Caenorhabditis elegans: one gene and its partners. The protein of the gene in region 3 interacts with the protein of the main gene of each other region in a pairwise test. Each region holds a gene or a part of one and is shown on either strand. Other genes may lie near its edges.

Region 1 (5,306 bases), on a different chromosome or scaffold from region 3:
AACTGTTTTTTTTTAAATGATTTTCAATTGTTTTTAAGAGAAATAGTAGCGATAATTGTTGGTCAGTAACAGTCAAAACATGACTCATTTTTTTGTCGAAATGGTTTATCAATTTTCGTGGAAGCCCCTTGTGGTCGGATCAATCAGACTAAAGCTGCGATTTTTATAGATCTTGTTATCTCTATTAACAATTGCGATTTTTAAGTTACTTCAGAGTAACCAAAACGAGTTCAGGTTATTTTAAAAATAATGGATGGCGTAAAACAAAATTTTTAGAACCACTTTTTGAACCTAACAAAGTATTGGAAGTATTACCAACAAAAAAAGTTTCAGAACTCATTTCCCTAAAACAAAGGACAAAAACATTCAGGCCAAAGGCAACCCTGTATACAGAAATAAGACAGAAATTATCATCGTTGCAACGGGGGGAGACAACAAAAAATCAGAATTGAGAAAGAGCCATGCACCATGAGTCAGGGATTTTTCGTTATTAATAGTTTTTGATAAAATTTGTCCCTTTTTGTTGAAGCTGAGGAGGCTTATTGATTTGAAAGTTTGTTCACATAACCTTTTAGTTGGCAATTGGTACACTTTGGAACACTGAAAACGGAAATATCAGTTTCAGTGATTTTGATTGAAATTGAATACTAATTTCCTCACCAATTACATTCAATCACTTGACTTGACTTCGCTATTAATTTATTGCTCATAGTTTCAGATCTTACCTTCACATCTGCTACAAAATGGACCGCAGAAAGCTTCAAAAAGAGGCAAGAAGTGAAATGAAAAAGGTGAGTATTTCAATCTCGTTCTGAAATTCAACTCATCTTTTATATTCAGACCGCCAATGGCGTCGACCGTGCCACATATAACCGAGCAAAGGCTCTTTTGGAGATAATCCGGAAGGTTAGAAATATACATTTATTCGTCATCACATTACATTTCTAGAATGCCTAGGACCGTTTCAAGACATCTGTGAGAATTATGGAAACCCGCCTTCAGGAAGAGATTGCCACAAATGATCTGGCTTCCTCCACGATCTCCAAGGTGAGTCATGATAATTTTGACTCGGCAAGTTTCCAAAAATTGTCTTCCGTCGTTGTACGATGAAATTTATGGCTTAATATATTAAAGAATAAAAAATAAAAAATTGTAATTTGGGAGACAGATGTGAGTATATTTAAGGTCATAGCTACTGCCATAGGATTACTGTAGCCAATATTCCAGTAGCTGAACTATTCCACGGGCAATCTCCGTTGTTATCATGATACTGTATGATAATTGTAATAAAACTAAAAATCGTTTCTGAGATCATGAGCGAAGATCAAATGAATTTATTGGCGGGTTATTATAAGGCTACTGTCGTGATACTGTAGTGATACTGTTGCCGAAATTCATATCATTGGAGCAAACAGGGAACACAATTTATATTATAAATCGTCCTATCAACTTTCAAACTTATGTCGTTTCAGTCACGCCATGCCATTTTTGCGTCCATAATCGAAGAGCTCAAATCAATTTCCTCTCACTTTTGCATTCCAGCTCTTCCAATATGATTGTTCTCCATATTTATTCTGTTGACCACTGTCAATTCAAAATAGATATCTTCTTATATAAAAATTATGTTCGAAGAAACTGTTGCAAATCAATCTTGTTTAGAATTACTGGCAAAATAATTTCAGTTGTTTTCTCCTATTTTATTTCTTTTCGAGATATTTCTGTTTAAAATGTTGTTCATCCGGTACAGTTGATACTACTATAAACTTATAGAATAAATTAACACAGTGCCAATATCCTAATTCACAGTCTCAGCCGGAATTTCCCAGGCAGTACCCAATCGATATCCAGTCGTCTAGTTTCGCATGGTCCCAAGACAAAACTGGAGATGTCCAGCCTCGTTCTCATGAGAACCTCACTGATGAACCATGGGAACCCATGATGGGGACTGTAAAAATAGAGATTTCAGAATAATTCCCATGGCTCCAAACGCTTGATACAAAGCTCCACCCTCTGAACAATAATGGAACTATAAAAGGTAACCATTTATTCATTGTTCATTTACTTTCTTGGTGGATCACTGGTCTGCTGGTTTAGTATACTTTTTGATAATTGTAACATCAGGAAAGTGTACTGATTTTGATCAATTACTTTTAAAGCATTCAGTGAACTGTATACTTCTAGAAAAACAGCACGAGTTATCTCACTAAACTAAATCAATTTGTGCTGCTTTCTTGGTCTCATTTTTCTGTTTTGTCACAATTATTCCTTTTATTTAACGGCTCATCTTGAAATTTTATAAATTCTAGATTTCTTCTTGATTTTAAAAAGATTAAAACTTATCAAATTTCAGATGCCAAAAGTTATCCCATCTTCAATGAGCGATTATCGTTCCGTCCCATACAATCAAACTCCAAAATCAGGATCTGAACGGAAAAGAAGAAATATTACAAACGAGTTGATTAACGAATGCAAGACGATTGTTCAAAAATCAGAAGAAGAACATATATCGTAAGTTTAAATACTCTGTTAGCTTAAAATAGTTATTAAACTAATTCATTTTTTAGACAAGAAGTAGTTCTCTTCCGAATTGTGAAACTTGTGACTGGAGTTAATCTGGAATCTAATTTCTCATCGAATGACCTCTCCGAATCTACAAGACGGAAGTTTGATACTGAATCCGAAAGAAGAAAAGTGAAGACTGAACGTGAAAAGATTCGAAGAAAGAAACAAGATGACTGTTATGCTGAATTGAAATTCTTCATTTTGAACAAACAAATGGGAAGTTACGAGCAACGGTAAGAGTTTCATTATGGCTAATAAAAATTCAAAAAATTATTTTCAGATTAAAACTTGAACGGATCACAATTCTAGAAATCATCATTGATTACATTAAACACAATTCCGATCTTCTGTATCCAGAAACAATTCCCCAAATACTTCCTCTTTTAGCTGGAAAATCAACTGCTACTTGTGAGAACAAAGAGAATGAAAAGCCAAAAACACGAATGGAAGTGAAGGATCTCTTCCCAAGATTGACGTTTCAAGAAGTTCAAGAATCCCCAACATCTACTTCTCCATTGCTCACATTTCCATGTATTCCAATGATCCCAACTACTCAGTTCAATGTCTTGTCAAACTACAACACCGTTCCATCAATATTTTCTGCTCCCCTCCGATTCATTCTTCCATCACTTCAAATCTTAACACCAGAAACTAGTGACGAGGAAGAAAATGAAGAAACCGTCGATATTAGTAACTAGTCTATCAAGTTCTTCCAGATCTTACAATTAGTTTCTGAGCAATTTTTCGAAAATCTTCATTGTCTATATTGCGTTTTTGATTCATTTTTTTATCTTTCTATGGCCAATATTCCCGAACTTTTTCATCCCATCGCGTCGCAATCTATTTTTGAAGATTTTTTACTACTCACGTGATAGTCTTGTCTAAATTATTCTGTTTGAAAATGAATGTTTATTCGGTAAAATTTGTTAGCCAGAATACAAGCAAGACAAGTATGTATAATCAAAGTTCCATTAGTCCACACCAAATTCCATCTCCCAGTCATACGGAAACTCTTCAATGTCCTTGTCTAGCATCACTTTTTGCAGTGTTGTATAGATCATCTCATAATCGGGCTCCTTGAAGAACGAAAGACTGTCGATATAGCTGGAAATGGAAAATTACGAATAAATCAGCTTTGGTAGAGACTCACTTCATAATCAAGCGAAATTCATCTGGGCAGCCAGCAAGGAATTGGCCCATGATCGGTTGGAAGCGGGAATTCTTCTTCATCGCACCAATCTCGCCAATCTCATTTACATTTTTCCAGGGAAGAGCTGCATTGGTGAAATCGACGAGCATGTAGAACCTAGAAAAACACATTTTCTCAAATAAAAACTATTATTCTTATTTTCAATTCTAAGTGATAACCCAATCTGGCCTTCTGGCATCTTTACAGAATATATCACATAAATGACTAGTTCTTAAATTGATTAAACTAGCCAGCTTTCCAAATCGTCCTTCAGTCCATGTTCCGCCGTATTATGTGATGCAAGCGGTGCATATCGAGGGCTTCCACGAAATGGCACAGTTTTTCTTGGCTCGAGCATCAAATTTTCGCGATCTACATACTTTCGGCAACATCCGAATCTAAGAACAAAAATGTTGCGAAGCTCGCCTTGGCTTGCTCTTCCGAGATAGAAGTTGCCAGGGTTCACATCTCTGTCCAAGAACCCACTCCAATGCAAATCTTCCAATGCTTCCAAGCATTGAAACGATGCCCCAATCGCAGAGCCCAAATGTCAAATGACCATCAGGCCCAGTCTTTATAGCATCTTGCAGGGATTTCCCAAGAAGCTTCATGACAATATAGTTAAAGTTGTCATGGCGTCCCTTGTCTGAAAGATGGGGTTACGGTTACCTACAAAAGTGTACTACATACCAATGAGAGTAGGCATGTGGCTGGGCGACTTCTCAGATACCTTTGTCATCACACAAAGCTCAATTCTCAGCGACTAAAAATAACATTTTCTGCTTAATGGTTCGACAGTATTAACTCACATATATCTCCTTGGTATTCAACTGAGCCTTCAAAACATGCTCCTCTCCAGCATCATCTCGCACAGCATACACTGCTCCGAATTCACCATCTTCAAGTTTCTTGAAAACCTTGTAACGACGAACTCTATAGTCAATACTTAGCTGAATAACGGGAGCCTCCGTCATCTCGTGACGAGAATAGATTTGAAAATAAATTATTTATGGATTTTCGGAAAATATTGATCTTGTCGTTGACGAACTTTTTTAAACACAACGTTATCACATCTTTGAAGTCCACGTTCAAAAAAAGTTTTTCTTGTTTTTTTCTGCAATAAAATTAACTTCATAAACTAGAAAAGGAGATTTTCAAAAATCCGGACTGTTGATTCAAAATTATTTCAAATTGTTTTTATTCTGATATATATATATATATATATAATATAAATTAACACAATTCTAATATCCCCTTTACATTCTCAACCAAAATTTCCTATAAAAAGGGGAAACTCACGCCCATAACATGGCCAAATAATTGTTTGTCCATCTACGGGTCTCGCAGCGAAAATCAAAGTTTATTCGGTGTTTTTTATTTATCTTTTTTTTTTGGGAAATTATGAAACTAATTTTTGTTAAAATGATTGCAATTTCCAAAAAAATCAAAATTTCAAATTAAAAAGCTCGAAAAAATAGTTTAAAACTGAACTCCCACTACAAACTGCCCAGCGGAATTTGGAGTCTCGTTTGGCCACGCCCACTCGGTTCCTTGA
Region 2 (6,681 bases), on a different chromosome or scaffold from region 3:
TTGAAAAAAATTTTTAAAAATTTTGAATTATTTTTTTTTGCTTAGGAAGAGCTGTTAACTATTCATGAAAATTAGTCCCCAAAAAAAATATTGTAACTTTTATAAGTCAATTGAGTTGAGTTTTTTCTTTTGAAGTTGCTGAATTAGCTGCGGCAAGTTGTCGAGTATTTCTTTTGTCTTAATTCGGTTCAAAATAGTTTTTACTTTTTTTCAAAATTTGTGGTACTAGGTGTAGGATTAATGATATTCTGGCGTGCAGAAAATTTAAAATTGAAATCAATTAATTTTTTCAGGTGAAAACTTTAAAAAAATCTTGACTATGTATATCTAAGTTAGTTTTTTTTTCATTTTCCATCCAGTCATAACAGTGGTACAATTGTTTTAAAGTAGTATGCCACCTTCTGATTGTGATGAGAAAGACATTCATTTATCAGTCACACAACAGTTTTGTTGACGTTTTTACTTTGTGATTTCCATTTTTTGAATATTTGATCAGCAAACGATTATTCTTGAGTTCTCAATTTGTGACTTTCTTTTTTTATTTTAAAATTTCCATTCATTTCAATATTCAAAATTCTCACCATAAAATCCTTTACAGTACTGTGCTGTGCTTTCCTTCTCGCCATCATCTACTTCCATATCCTGTCGCCGATCTGAAAGTTAACTTTTAATACTTCAGAGATTGGAATTAGTCTTTTGGTATTCGTGTCATTTGAAAATGAAACTGTCACTCTTAAAATGAACCCTTACATGGTGAAGAGTTGGTATGTTGTGTCACATTCATATCAAACGAGTTATTCATCATCGATTCACAAAATAAATAGAGAAGAATGAGAATCGGAAAACGAAGAAGAAGAAAACGAAACGAAACGATGAGAGAATGAGATGGAGGTGGAGAACCATTTTTGGTGATAAGCGAGTATGACTCACTACTCAACAACCCGACATTTCAGGATGAACTGAAAGCACACTGAATTGCTTACAATTTCAAGACAAACGGGAAGAATTATATTGCTAATTCGTTATTTACCATATCACTGTAACTGTTAAATGTCGTGAACAGTCTCTGATGCTGTGCTTCTAGTAGGCATTCCACTCGGTCGAGGCGTGACCGAGGCGCCTTTCGTCCCTCGAACCCCTTACAGTCAACTTTGTGTTCCATTTACCTTAACTGTGGTTCTGGTGGTTATTTTAAAATTTCTAGTTATGTGAAAAAACTTGAAATCGATTCTATTTTTGGTAGGATAGAGAATTATAAATTTCCATTTCTTGGTGATTCTTGAAACAACTGATTGATTATTTTCTGATCAATTCCATATTAAAATACGGTTATGTTCTTTAGGTATATTTACAAAAACTATGATTTCTTTGATAATTATTTAAAATTCAGCCACTGCAAAATCATAGATCAAATCAAAAGACCCGGAAAATAATTGTTTTCCAAAATATCAGCACATTTAGGAAGTACAATTCCAACAAGAATATATCCTAAATTGGCGGGAATCGAGAAAAGCATAACAAAAAAATAGATTCAATATATATGAAGAAAAATGTTTCAGATAACTTCATAACACAAACATCAATTGATCATGAAACGCGTGTTAGATTTGATTAACAAAACATGTTAACGATGTTCTTGGAACTACGCTGATTAGCAGAAAAAGTTGGTGGGAAATGTTGTTTAAAGTTTTTGAATACGCGACACGAAAAAGGAAAGTGAAAAACTTTCATAATGCTCCATCCAAGCACGTTCTTTAATTTGTGTTTATGATGGTGGGAAAATAGAAAAAGTGAAAAAAAGAGAAGAAGAAAAAGATTCTCAGATGTTCTCTAACAGAAAATGTAGATGAAACTAGAGAACCAGAAAAGCTCAGAGATAAACATCAAAAAGAAAATATTAGAGCAGATCAGTCTTCCACGAGCAGAACGTCATGAATATGTTCTTTAAAGATTAGTGTCAGGTTTGATGGGAATTGGCTGAAACTAGGGCTTCATGCGCCTCATCGGAACTTGGCTTGCCTTCACGGCAACCCTTGCCTGCCTTGTGCCTAGAAATATTAATAACTCATGAGTTAACACAATTCGAGCGCCAAACATCGTTGAATCAAAAATATGAAGCCAGGAGGGGCGGGTAGGTTTGAGGCAGGCAGTGGATCCTGAGGATGCACCTCTCTAGATAGATCTACTATGGGTAACCTAGCTAAAACTGAGTTCAAAATGACTAACTACCTACAGGTTCCATTCTAAAATTGAAACAACTTCTGCAGAAAATGAGAACAAATACTAACAGAGATTCGCCTGAATATTTCATCAAACATATGACTGTTTCGCAAGAGTTGCCATAGCCTCTTTCATCTCATTACCCATGCATGTTATGGAACAGAAATCAGAGCCTAAAAACTGAAAGATGGGAAGGAAAAAAGGGGCAAAGTGTGTGTCAAAACATTTACGAAAGCCCGATGACTCATTCCAAGAAATGAATGGGAACGGATAGAACGAATGAACAAAATATGTCTGGATAAAATGGAAATTAAGAAACCAAAGTTCGAGAATAAACGCATCGAAAATTAGTTCAGCTCACGTAGCTAAAAAAAATTTCAAGACAAACTTTTAAACATCTTCTTTGCAAAAATCTTGATAACGAGAAATTCGACGTAAAATAGAGAAGCGAAGGGCCGGGATAAGCCATTTGTAAGATCATTTTAGATTTTTTATAGCATTCGATCGTTCAAAATCAATTTTAAAATAGCATTGTTTGAACTTTTGCTTGAATTTTCTGTACTTATAGTGTGTTTTGTATTTTCGTATTGTACTTTTGTCAATATGACTTCGAAGAACGTTTTCAAAATACCTAACTATAAATTTCGACAAAACCTTAAAAAACCCAAATAGTGTACTAAAATGATCTGATGAGCTAATAATGAAACTTCCGAAAGGAACAGCTGTTAGTCTTATCATTTGGCACAATCAGGTCGAACCAATGAAATATTGCTCTCAAACCAAGAGAGGGCGGAGAGACATATTGTGGTGATTTATTAGGTAGTTCTTGTGAAAAAATGTCGGGTTTGAAATATGTTAAATTTCTAGATGAAGGTTTTAGAGAAATGAGGTTTGTCGGATTTGTATACCATAATATATTTAAGCTTTTTTTGAAGGATTTGAATAATACAAATCTTCAAAGTAAAGCTAGGGGACAAGCTAGAGTAGGAGGTAGAGATTTTCCAAAAAAACATAGTTTTACCGTTAATTGCAATTTTAAATATTAATCAAGAATTTAGGTTTAATGAAAGTTCAAAAAATTTACCAAGTTTACAGAATATGGTCTAGGAATATATATATATATATAGTTTCAAGTTCCTAGATCCTAACCCTAATGCCTCTACACTTCCGCTAAACTAGGCATATGCGTTTATCAACAAAAAACAGTTCGAAGAAAAGAGACCATATAAGACGAAGAGACGCAGACAGTTGCCAGATGGAACGGGCGGGAAAAGCTGTGCGCCGCTTCGATCACTACAGTAGCTGCGTCGTTGGAATCGAAAATCACGTGTCAACTCGATTTTTTTTTCTCGATCACTGCGTCTCTCTCCGAATTAGAGTCTCGCTCGTAGTTTTTGTGATGATTAAAATGTAATGATGAACATTCATAAAAGTGGGCGGAGCCAGGATTATACCGTTTACTCTATTTTTAAGTGTTTTATGTCCAGTTGAAAGGAAATTGTTGCATAGAAAAACTTTCAATTTGGTAAGAAACAATATGATTTAATTTTACAAATCATTTAAGAAAAATACAAAACAATTTTAACAACCACCTGTTTTTTTTGGCACGCGTCATAAACTTTTTATGGGTTCAAAGAATTCATATTAAACATAGATCTACAAATTGATATAATGTTTTGACAAACAACTTCATCAATTAACGATAAAATCACGAGATCACAAATGTTTGGTAGTTGTAATTTGGCATTTTGATAGTAGTGAAACTATAGTTTTGTAACCATGATTGTCCATTTCCTATTGTGACAGGTTTATCATCAAGTATTCCAAAACTTTTGAACTAGACAAACAAACTAACCCTTTTTGGAATTTTTCCTTCTTCGAGTTGGAGCTTTTGGAGCTTTTAGAACAACTTCTGGAGATTCTGATGATGTTGATGAGGATGGTGGTTCCTCTTGATCCTCTTCCATTTTTGTTTTATTTTGATTTCAAAACCTTTTGACAAATAAGAATTGAATAGAGAGGAAGAGAAGTTGATGACGAATCGGTTGACGACGATGGCGATGGGGGTTAGTCGGCGGGGGCCCCGAGAATGAGTCACACGCACACTCACTCTTGTCTCTTTTCCTCTGCTGACTCGTTCTTTTCCTTTTTCTCTCTTTTTCTATCTCTATCTCTTTCTCTCTATTTTCCAGATCCATGACATCCATAGACGCAGATAGACAAACGAACATTGAAAGAAAACATTGAAAATTGAGAGAATCCAGAAGTTTCTCATTCTCTCTATTTTTCATTCTCTCTTTCCACCACCCAATTGACATTTAGAAAGGTAAATGGAGAGAGAAAGAGAGGAAATGGATAAAGTTCGCAGAAAAATGTTACCGTAAATAATGTGTCAGTGTGCTTGCTTCACGTTCTCCGTCTCTTTTCCCTCATTTCTCTCCGCTCCTTTGACTTCTGTATTTGCCTTTCCATCAGCCACTTATCTTTTTGGAAGTTCATTGGCTTTTTCAGAGCTCATCTTGTTTTTCATTCTTTTTAGGCCTGACCTCATTAGTCTTTTACCCATAGATCTTGTTTATGCACCCAATAATAACTAAAATATAATACGTTTTTTGCAGGGGTTTGAAGCTTTCTGATCCGGTTTTTCAAATTAATAAAAACCGAGAGTAATAAAAACTCATGTTTCAGTAAATCCAATTTTGGAAGTCGACCAGAAAACATTTTTTGGAAAATTTGGCAATTTACTAAAACTGTTAATGAACATTTTACTCTGGAGTGTTCGATTATGACATTCGAGAATTTTGTCTGCACATACTTCAACTAGACCAGAAATACTCTAGATCATTTTTACAAAATCTAAACATATTTTGATTTTCTTTTTGAAATTGTTTGAGGTTTTGTTTTTGGCACAATGCAAAAAAAAGGTTTTTTTTCAAAGTAATTTATACTATTTTTGCATGTTCGGTCCTAGATCTTTCATATTTGTAATACGTGATAACATATTATTAGTAATAGCCAGATTTTGACTACAGTTACAAACATTTTTTAATTTTTTGAACTGTTTTACCATGTTATTCAGCATACCAAACAACTCGTCTAGATATCAAAACAAGTTTTATTCAAGGTAACATACCGTGTACCATACCATTTGGAAAGTACGGTAGATATCAGTTCATTGCATTTGGGAATTTGTATCGCATTTGCAAAGTTAATTTTGATTGGTAGATTTTTTTCGGCACTTGCACTTAATTTTTTCATAGAAACACCGTAATTTGCATAAGAATAGTCATTCGGCCTAACACGATCGATGCTAATTATCTTTTATTATTACTAACTTCATGTTTTATTTGGCTTATTTGTGCTGATATCTAGAGGCTTTTGAATTGTACATTCGTGAACCAGGAATTGGCCAAGTTTTGCCAATTTCGGAACCAAGTTGGGTACGAAGTTTCGAACATAAATCTGAAAGTGTTTCATTGGTCTCCAATAGTCATGATTTGTGATTCACTTTCCAATTTACAATATCAACAGTAGTATCTACTCATAATTGATAACTTCGTATTTTCTCTAATCATACTTATGTCTCTCACGATTCCATACAATTTCGCGTTCGTTATGGTTGTCTGCTCATCTTTTTGTACACGGTCATCAAAATGAAATCGGAACGAAAAAGCAGTCACAAATTCGGAAATCATTGCAAAAAAATGGTGGGAGTAAGAATTGAGAGATTAGTGGAAATGGCATCACATCAGAATCAATTTGAATTCTCTCTTTTTTTGTGTTTCCTCTGCCCACCCATTCACATTTCAGGTGATTTCGAGAACAAATTACGTCGAAAGGGAAACGCCTGGCTGAAAATAAAAAATTCAGAAAAAAAGGAAGAAAATAGAAAGTGCACGCACCGGCATACGTAATAAGGAGCCCCTCATCTAAATAATATTTACGCTTCCAAGATTCTGTTTTTAGTTTAGTTTTTTTTAGAAGGAAGGAAACTTTTTTTCGTGTAATAGCAGGGACTTTCAAAAAGTAATAATTTATATCTAATGTCAATAGTATCAAGCAAAAGCTTTTAAAGCGAATAAAACTGGGACATAGAGATGGAACGTTGGGAAAGGAGATGGGAAGAACCGGTCAATTAATATATAAGTAATTATGCGAATTACCATCTATAAATATTAAGAGAAACAATAAAAATCTATAGATATGAATCTAGTAGGCAAGCTCTTCAGGTACATCATTTTGTGCAGCTTCTTCAGTTATTTCTAACGGCACACGACTTCTATTCGCTGGTAGATGGCCTGATTTCACAAAGTCTAGGCATTCTTGAGTGTACGTCACGGGATGAGATCGGAGATGTTGGCAGTGCAAAGAATCGAGAAGACGAAGTTTTGAGATTGAAACACCACGTTGCTCCATTAACTGGGCGTATTCTTCGATGGATTCTTCGGAGCAAACCTGGAA
Region 3 (9,625 bases):
CAACTTTCACTGCCTTTCACCAATTTTAACGTTTCTCTATTTTCCTTTATAACATACTCAACTAAATGTTATTTTTTGAACTCTGTATGTAATGTTGCCTTGTATTAACTACCATTTTCTTTAATTTCTCACTAACTGTCTTCTAATGTCATAATTTACCTATTTATTTTCAGAATGAAGAAGGGTTTGACAAAAGTTGCATCGAAGAAAACCGAGAAACCGTTTCTGCTTGAAGAGTTGCCTTCATTGCCACTCGGTGATATTGTGAAACAATTGCCAATGTTCGAGCTGTAAGTGTTTATTATCGAACAAATACGATCGCACAATGTTCTCATAATTTATTTTTGATCTACCTTGTTGACTAGGCTCATTCCCTTCCTTTGACAAGACAGCCACAACAAAATAACAACGGCAACAAGATTGGGGGCGGGGTCAAGTTCAGCAGGTAGATCAAATATACATTATGAGAAGTTTGTGCGATCGTATTTTTACAATAATAATATAACATTTTAAGTAGTTGTTTGTTTGATTTCCTAGAAGTTTATCTTGAACTCTGAACAACTAGTACATTAATTTGATTGAAAACTCTCAATATAGAGAATACAACCAAGTTTTTAAATTAAATCGCATATCGCACTTCACCATAAATCTGAAAGCGACTTGGGAGCAAGCTACCCAGGTCGCTCTCTCAATATGTCCTGCCTTCGCAAGCTTAAATTCAATTCAAATACGGTTCATTTTTAGCGTGAAACTGGCGTTACTATCTCAAAAAGCAAAGAGATGGGTATTGGAGCACTCGCGTCGACATCTTGTTCAATTGACTGTCAATCTCGGAGAAACGTTCATCATCAAAATCGGATATGACGGAGAAGCAACCAACGAGATTGTGAACATAAAACTGGATGATATGCCTCCAAAGAGGGTGTATAGAACTAGGAGCTCAACGAGACTGCCAATGAATTTATTGAAAATTGACCCCATTTTCCCATCATGCTGCGCCAAAAACACCTATGGAACTCGAGTCGAAACAGTGAAGTATTTGATTAAATACTTTTCAAAGACGTTCAAGATGATCTCGATGGAACTCACCTTTGATAAGCAGCCCGACGCTGTGATTCTTGATATCATCAACCTTGTGAATCATTTGAAAATCAAAATGGATACTCTGGCAGTTGCTGGAAAGAACAACAGCGACGAAGTGTTCAAGTGCATCATTGATGAAGTTAGCCGAGTTTCGTCTCTTCAAATCTGGGGATTCCCAAATGGCGAAAGACTGTTGGGCTTGAATGATGATTAAAATTTTCTGAACTTGAATAACTTTTGATAATTTTTTGTTTCTAATTATAAGGTCAAATGTTAAGCCTCAGTAATAAATCCATGTATTTCTTTCCTCTTCCATCTGTTTTTTTTTCGTATTCCTCACTTTCGCTTTTCCCATTTTTAGATATCCTATAAATTATCAAAAAAAGTTCAACTAATAAAATATTGTCCATAATTACGTCTACTTGTATTTAACTGTTTAAGTTGCTTACCAGTGTCATGACAAGAAATACAGCGGCCGACATCTCGTGAGCCCGTTTTTGACAACTTTTACTGATTCGGCCGTATCTCGAAAACTAATTTTTTTCTGGAAATGTTTTTGAAGAAAAATAATCTTCATACTACTTGCCATCATTTGTGCCTACTCACTTTGTTTTGAAAAATTCAGCAAAAAAGTTATGGAAGTGCAAACTAGTCCCTCACTTGGCACTGCTCATGCTGTACAACCAAAAATCAGGTTACTTACTTCGAATATATTTTTTTCGAGCATTTTTTAATAATTACAAATGTAAAATCACAATTAAACTTTATTTAAACACGATATCAAAATTCAGGGAAAAAAAATTCTTCACTTGCGAGAAATGCTCTAGTTGTAGTCGTACACTATTCAAGTTTAATCTATCATAACTTTTTTGCTGAATTTTTCAGAACAACGTGAGAAGACACACATGATGGCAAGTAATATGAAGATTATTTTACTTTGCCAACACTTACAGAAAAAAAAGTTTTCGAGATACCGGCAAATCAGTAAAAGTTGTCAAAAACGGGCTCACGAGATGTCGGCCGCTGTATTTCTTGTCATGACACTGGTAAACAACTTAAACAACTGAATACAAGTAGACGTAATTATGGACAAAATTTCTTGAGTTGAATTTTTTTCGATAGCATGTCCAGTTTTTAAGTTGTGCTCGTTTGAAAAACTTGTAAATTTATCAAAAATCGAAAATTGGATAGAATTATGGCCGGCACTGTATGTAAGACCTTCAAAACGTGCTCCTCTAATCCGTTGCTGTTCGGTACTCTTGTTACGTGTTAAGTTGGGACAAGTTTCCTAGCTACTCATAGTTTGTCTGCACTCTCCTAGTGACGAGAAAAAGATGAAAAGATAATCTCTCAAGGAAAAGCAGATTAATCAACAAAGCGCAGCAGAACTTTCAAATTCATTTTAGTTAATAAGTATACGATTTCCGGTGACCGAATATATGTAGTTGGTTTGTGTTGTATTTTGAATTCTGGTATATAAAATATAAGTAATAATATATAAGTAACCGTTTGAAATTGGAAAATTTTTTCGACGCAAACTTTGCCAGTGATATGTTCAATGAAACATGCTAGTTTGAAAAAATTAAGCATACAAGCACATTCCTATAAATAATTTGGTGGCCACCTTCTGTTATGTTTTATCAAAAATTAGACCTCCCGGCTATTTTGTTACAATCGAGCAGACACCCCCCCCCCCCCCCCCCCACGACACCTGTTCTCTTTGAGCACTCCATAACGTGGGAAGGCACATCTTGCGTCATATGTGACCCGACAGTCTCCTACAAAAATATGGGAAACGGGGCAGATTGAGTGATGATGTAACTTGTTCTGCGCAGTCTTCTCTGCCTGTTCTCGACCTTTTTGCGAGGATTGGCTCCAACATACGTTTTGCACCACTTCTCGATGTTTTTTAGTTTGTTTTTCAAAATTAACATATAGTTTTTCATCAATTTTAGACAAAACTAATTCATTCAATTAATTTTAACATGAAATGAAATATTCAGAACTTAACTTTAGTTGTTTTAGAATAATAGGGTATGCATTGTTAAAATTACAAAAAGTGAGATTTATATCCAAGTCTTTAAATTTTATTGTATTGCAGTTTTGGGATTATTTTAGATTTTTATTAGGAAATGCATGCAATTTTTGCAATTATTGATAGATGTACAGTTTTTAGTGTGTGTGTGTTTTTTGTTAATTTCGAGGATTAATAGAAGAAAAATCCTCTTTAAAATTTGAGTTCACACTTTTTTCCACTAGCAATATTAATTTTGAATATTTTGATCACGAGCAATAATTTTTTCAGGATTTTTTCAAAAGATGGATAGCGGTGGCCAAGGTTCAGGTTCACAAGACCAATTCGAAAAAACAGAACAACTCGTTGATGCACAATATCCAGTTCCGACAACATTGAAGCCAGATTTTTTCACAGGTGAACATTTTAATTTTGTGTTAATAACACGATCATACAATAAAAAAGGTTTGTAAACTGACAGGAGACGGAATTTTCATATCGAGAAATTAAAAAAATCCTTTTTTTCAATGTAAAAAATCTATATTTGAAATTGATTTTCATATGACTAGTTTTTTTTTCAAGCGAAGCATTATATTATTCTTTATATACATTTAAAGGTGGAGTACTGCCAGTGGAGAAATTGTTAAAAACCACTCGTTTGGTCACAAAATGACCAAATATCATGATAAAACTTTTCAAAAATTTTTGAAAATTTATTATTTACTGTCAAAAAGTGGCAATTACTCAGTTTTTGCCACTCATAATTTTCGAAGTCGACCAAAAAAACAATTTTTTCGACATTTTTTATGTTCTAATTTTGTTTAAATTATTTTTATTAAAATATTGTAGGGGTCGCAACATGCGGCATTTCTTTAAATTTCCTCAAAAGCTAGTAGATTCTCCAATTGTCAGCACAAATGATTCTGAACCAATTAATGAACAAGTTTATTCAACACAAAGTAATCATGGCGAGCTTCAAGATAAAACCGAGATTGATGAAAGAAATCGAGTGGATCAGTGCTTCGATAATGATCAACCATTTAACGGAAACAATTCAAAACTGTTAGAATCCGAGTCTCATAAACTGGGAGAGTCGTCAACTGAACCTTCAGGAACAACAATATCATCAGGAAATTATGAAATTGCTGAAGACTGCTCGGATGAGACAGAGCAATTCATCGATCCAGACAATCAAGTTCCAGCAGCAAATTTTATTACCAGTAAGCTTAAGATTTCTTTGAAAAATGTGCTCATTCAAACATTTTCTTCATGCAACTTTTTTAGTAACTTTTTCGGATGGGAACTGAAAATTATAAAACTGTGTTGCGTGTTTGCAGAGATTTTAAATATTGGGCTAATTTTTTTCTAAACAAAATGTTTTTTGAATTAATCGTTTTCATTTTCAGACGACTGCACAACAATTGAACAAACTGCAAAAATTCAAGAAGAAAGCGGAACAGATTCTTTGATTGTCAGCACAAATGATTCTGGTTCAACTAATGAACAGATTTTGCCAACACAGAGCAATGATGCTGACTTTCGTGAAAGAATTGAAATTGACGGAAGAGATCAAGTGGATCAGCATGGCAACAGTTATCCACCAATTAGTGGGAACAACTCAAAATTGAGAAAATCAGAGTCTCATGAACAGGGAGAATTTTTAGTTGGACCTTCAAGGAAAAGAAAGCCAGAAACACTAATTGAAACAAAGAGTAAGAAAAGAAAATCGGCGAGAGGAAGACCATCTAATAAGTTGAATCAATTTCAAATACATCAAGTTAGTAGTGACTGGAACGCGAACGCATTTCTTCAGTTTGCTCGACGAGACGCAGCTGGTACGATTCTAGAGTCGGAAGAAGCGAAAAAAACCATCGATGCACAGTTGGAACACTTTTCGGTATGTTGTTTCAATTAATATTAAAAAAAAAAAGAAATAGCACTTTAATAGTGTTGTAAACCTACTGACCCTACTGATAATGAACATGAAATTTCAATATAAACGAAATGTGGCTCAATTTTAAAATATAACGTTTAAATGTCAAACGCTATGTCAAACTTAAGTTATAATCAAAAAATTATTTTTTTTCCAGAAATTTCCTAATTCTTTTGGAATCGCATTAAAGATAGGAACAATTTAATAACTTTTTAATAATTTTCTAAATGTTAGAAAAATAAATAAATGAATTAAACTATTATACACACTACCAAGTATGCTCGTTGATATCATAAATTTTTACATATGCATTGTAAACATAAAACAAAGACCAATTTGAAAAGTTCAAATTTTAACACAGAACTTAATAGGGAGTTTTTTAAAACTATGTATAAAATGCGATCGGTGCGATCGGAAAAAAGTTGAACGTACTATTTTATAGCAGACATTTTGAGCTCGCATAATTGATAATTGTTTTCAGCGAAAAACTCAAACTTTCAGGTCAAAATTTTTTGTCTAAGACAGGACGTTGTAGGACGTTGTCAAAGCAAATTACAAATTATGTATATGCTTTTAACAAAACTTTAAAATATTTGCAGGAGCCCTCGTGCTCGACGGATGTTTCGGTTCATGTTGTCAGAGACAACGAGAATCTGGGCTTGGTGACAAACAAACTCCGATCGCTAGCCATTCCACCAATATCCAACCTTCCCAGTGATCTGCCTTCATTATATAAACTCCCGAAACTGTTTCTAACCGGAGCGACTTTTATGGACGTCTCAAAATCAAAAGGAAAACAAGTTATTACGAAAGCAAGCAAATGGATCAAATCTGGCAAAAATCTCGTATACGAAACATCTGGCTGTTCTGAACTATTTGATGAAACAACAAAATTCAACACTGATGGAAAGATTGAAGAAAACACAAGTGAAGAATACACAAATAAAGATCAATACAGGTTACCTGTTCCTATCTATAATATTGAGAACAACAGCGATGAAACATCAAATTTTATTAAAAATATCGTCAATACCACAACCATGTGCATCTTTCGAGGAATCGAAGAAGCATTTGGGATGGATCGCCAAACGTTTGACATCTCCACATTGGCACCTCTCTACCCCGATTACCCATTGAAAATTCGTCGACAGATGCCCCAGTCATCAGCAACCAATTTCTACATGAATGACAAAAATACCGTGCAGAGATTGGGAAATGCCTGGGCTGTCTTCGATTTTGAAGGAGTTACTCAGTTGAGAGATTTTGCGAAGAATTATGAAAGCCTTAAGGATATAGGAAGGTCAGGTACGTTTTTGAACTGTTTTTTTTTAATTCTTATTTAGCGAAAGATATTTGAGTTTTATAAGAAAATAAGTATCTTATAAAACCCAATTTCAAAATTTTTAAAGATTGGTCTAAAATTCCAGTCAGCTTTGAAAACCAAATTAGCGAAAACTTTTCAAAAGATTTCCAGGAGTTTTGAGCAAAATAAAGCAACGTCGCAACCATTTGAACCTCAATGGCATCCCAATGAAAATATTTGAAAAATATTTAGATTTTGAAATTCGTATAAAAAAAAGCACTTACTTCATTGTCGACCTTTAAATTATGGGTAATCAGAACTGAGTTCTCGCCAATTTTTGACTCTTAATCAACCCACTTGGGAACTTTTTTGATAAGTTTTAATAAAAACTAGAGAACTTCCAAAGTTTATAAAAATCATTAAATTTGTTCACCTTTCATTTTTCAGCTTACCAAGCTATCCTACGCAATCCTTCCGCATTTTCGGAAGTAATGGATGACATGAAGAAGCAAATCAAGGAAAATACGATCCCACTCAGTCCTGAACACAAACTTACAGTCCATGAAAATGCGACAGTGTTGGCATTTGGAACTAATATTGATCTGGATGATCAGCGATTCAAGGAACAGCTCGATGTATGTCGTTTAAAGTTAACGGTAGATAAATAATCATTATTTTCAGGAGATCAAAAAATTGCCTGATTGTTTGAGACCCGACGGAGCCGGGAATCTTCTCAACTTTGCTCAAGAGTCACTTGCAGGTCTGAACAAACCTCAAGTTTATTGCAAGCCTCCCGGAGCAAGAACCACAGCTCACCTGGAGAACCAAGCTCTCGGGTCCATTAACATTAATCATGGACCAGGTGATTGTGTTTGGTACGGAGTGCCCATGGAGTACAGTGGCAGAATGGAGGTGCTGATCAAAAAGCATCGACTTAATGTTTATAAAAGCGGGTACTGGCCAAGTGAGCAGGAATTAAGAAATGAAAAGATACCATCGCAAAAGTTTCTACAAAAGCCTGGAGACATGGTGTACGTCGGTATTGGAACATTTCATTGGGTGCAATCTAATGATTTTGCAATAAACGTCTCCTGGAATGTTGCACAACCAACTTTTAATCAACTGGCTGCTGCAATGGTCATTCACGATCACAACATCTCGAGTAAAGCAACTACTCTCATGCCTATTGAGCCAATTGTCTGGAAAATGGCTGAAGATGGAGTGGAGGCAGAGGATGAGAATATTTTCCTGGCTCGAAAGGCTATAATGCTAAAGTACGGTTTCGTCACAGAATCATAATACTAGATAACTAATTAATTCAAAATTACAGAAGTTTGGCAAAAAGCCAGTTTGAGTTCGATTTCGCCATTCAGGAAAATATGCTCATCAGATCAGCAAAAAACGAGAAATCGATCATCCCTGTTGAGCGATGCTCTATCCAAAAATGCCGGGAAGTTCTGTTCAATATGATCACACTTGACAATAAGCAAAATCCATTCTGCCTTAATTGCATAGTTAAAGGGTGAGTTGCATTTTGTGAAGAGTGATAACTGATAAATGCGGAAGAAGGGATGTATTGTTTACTCATCATAGAAAATTTTTTTGTATTTTTTTTTTCGAATTATCATTTTTTTATTGCATTTATCGGTCGTTTATCCAACGTTTTTTCGTTGAATAACGTATATTCAAACCCGATGGAAGGCCATTTTTTGGTGATTTTTGGTTAACTATCTTGAGATTATCTACCAAAACATGCAATTAAAAAACAAAAGCTCAAAAAAGTCAAATTTGTGACCGTTGCGTCACGGAAAAATCTCCCAAATTAGAGAATTTTTCGTACGAAATTTGTTTATTTGAGTGCATTTTAAGTATATATGTTCAAACATGTAGACCACTTTTATTTTGGTTAAAAAAGTAAAAAACACACGAATAGCAAGATAAAAATAGTTTAATTGGTGTCAAAGTGTCGCATTTTGGTTTCTTCGGGAAATGCGAGAGAAGAGACGGAGATTTTTCAGCTGATTTCGCATGGCTATACGTGTGCTGACGTTACATTTTTCTGGAAGAGAAATTCCCGCATTTTTGTAGATAAAACCGCAATGAAACAGCCTGACACCACGTAATAATCTAATATTTAATTTTCCAGAAAAGTCAAAGCAACAGCATTTCAAAGGCGGGACATTGCTGACTTGGTGAAGATATTTGACGAGTTTAAATGGGTGTCCTGAAACTTTTCTTTTTTTCAACTTTCGATCCTCAATTTTCACAGCTTTCTTTTGTATTATACAATTCTTGCACATTTTGAATCACTTATCGTTTTATTGATCTTGTTTTGATTTTTTATTATGCAACATTTTTCGATATGATCAATTCTGTTTAATAAAGTCCAACTTACTAATTATAAAAAAAATTTATTCTTACATACAAAAAAGAAATCGAAAATGTTTAGTTGCATGGGTTGACAGATGGACGTGCTGTGGCCATTGGCATATTATCTGAAAATAGGAGTTTTTGATTTTGTATGCAATTATTTTGAAATTACTGAAATCCTCTGGGTCTTGTGGGTAGCGAAAATCTTCAGCGTTATCAATATTTGGAATTGGTGCGGACAGAGAGATCCCAACGAGCAAAACCATGAAGAGAGTCAAGAAAGACAGTAGGAAACGAAACATTTTCTGAAAGATGAGATTGGGTTAGGAAAAAAAGAAACACGAGGAGTTCGGTGAAGAAAAATCAGACAATGACGAAAAGATGTTTTCAATGTTATCACACAAAATGTTGAGGTTGAAGCAACTGCGGCGGCAGTTGTCAATTTTCCCGGTGACATGTAAATAAAAGAGTTGGTGAATCATACAATTTGATTTCTAGAGAAACGATTGAAAATATATTCTGTTTAGAAACCTGACTTAAAATCAAAACCTGAGTTAAAATCATGTTAAAAATAAGTATACAATTAGGAAAAGAAAAACAGGTACATATATCTCTCCAATAATAACCGTCAAACTACAGAGGTTTTGAGTGTATTTTCCCTTCTCGCCGTTTTTGTGGTTCAGGGCAACGGCCAGAGCAGTGATGCAACTGTGCTTCTGTGCTGCTCCATATACTTCAGTTGCTGATCAATCCCAAAATTTTCTCATATTGCTCTTCTATTGACTACTTCTAAAAATTGAAAAAAATTAAAAATAAATCATATTCTCTGTCAGTCTTGCACCCATTTGAGAACTTCTGTAATTTAACGTTTGAGAAAATAAAACTATTTTTTTGTTCCGAGCTTAGTGCGCTCAACGGCTTG

Evidence for each region. Proteins that work in one complex are often made in the same cells at the same time.
Region 1: the proteins of jmjd-3.2 (region 3) and hlh-27 interact in a two-hybrid assay, tested with the Caenorhabditis elegans proteins (one large-scale study listed by BioGRID).
Region 2: the proteins of jmjd-3.2 (region 3) and jun-1 interact in a two-hybrid assay, tested with the Caenorhabditis elegans proteins (one large-scale study listed by BioGRID).

The regions. Positions count from the first base shown.
Region 1 is NC_003280.10:5,537,254-5,542,559, reverse strand, and holds hlh-27 (BHLH domain-containing protein), read left to right. Parts: upstream 1-2,346; 5' UTR 2,347-2,350; coding exon 2,351-2,508; intron 2,509-2,564; coding exon 2,565-2,795; intron 2,796-2,842; coding exon 2,843-3,260; 3' UTR 3,261-3,485; downstream 3,486-5,306. Other genes in the region: C17C3.24 (uncharacterized protein), read left to right, coding at 985-1,047, 1,473-1,556; C17C3.11 (Protein kinase domain-containing protein), read right to left, coding at 4,150-4,397, 4,442-4,514, 4,561-4,725.
Region 2 is NC_003280.10:9,110,797-9,117,477, reverse strand, and holds the start of jun-1 (Transcription factor jun-1), read right to left. Parts: upstream 4,322-6,681; 5' UTR 4,188-4,321; coding exon 4,076-4,187; intron 862-4,075; exon of another isoform or gene 803-861; coding exon of another isoform or gene 751-802; intron 654-750; coding exon 582-653; intron 1-581. Other genes in the region: T24H10.4 (Transmembrane protein 53), read right to left, coding at 6,430-6,675. UniProt on the Caenorhabditis elegans protein: Transcription factor that recognizes and binds to the AP-1 non-canonical enhancer heptamer motif 5'-TTAGTCA-3'. Required for ovulation. Controls plc-1 expression in the spermatheca to regulate spermathecal valve dilation.
Region 3 is NC_003284.9:14,444,828-14,454,452, forward strand, and holds jmjd-3.2 (JmjC domain-containing protein), read left to right. Parts: upstream 1-3,382; 5' UTR 3,383-3,402; coding exon 3,403-3,514; intron 3,515-4,077; coding exon 4,078-4,317; intron 4,318-4,503; coding exon 4,504-4,994; intron 4,995-5,629; coding exon 5,630-6,335; intron 6,336-6,780; coding exon 6,781-6,968; intron 6,969-7,014; coding exon 7,015-7,607; intron 7,608-7,663; coding exon 7,664-7,855; intron 7,856-8,479; coding exon 8,480-8,561; 3' UTR 8,562-8,740; downstream 8,741-9,625. Other genes in the region: F23D12.4 (F-box domain-containing protein), read left to right, coding at 175-290, 745-1,297; F23D12.7 (Neuropeptide-Like Protein), read right to left, coding at 8,779-8,828, 8,876-9,005.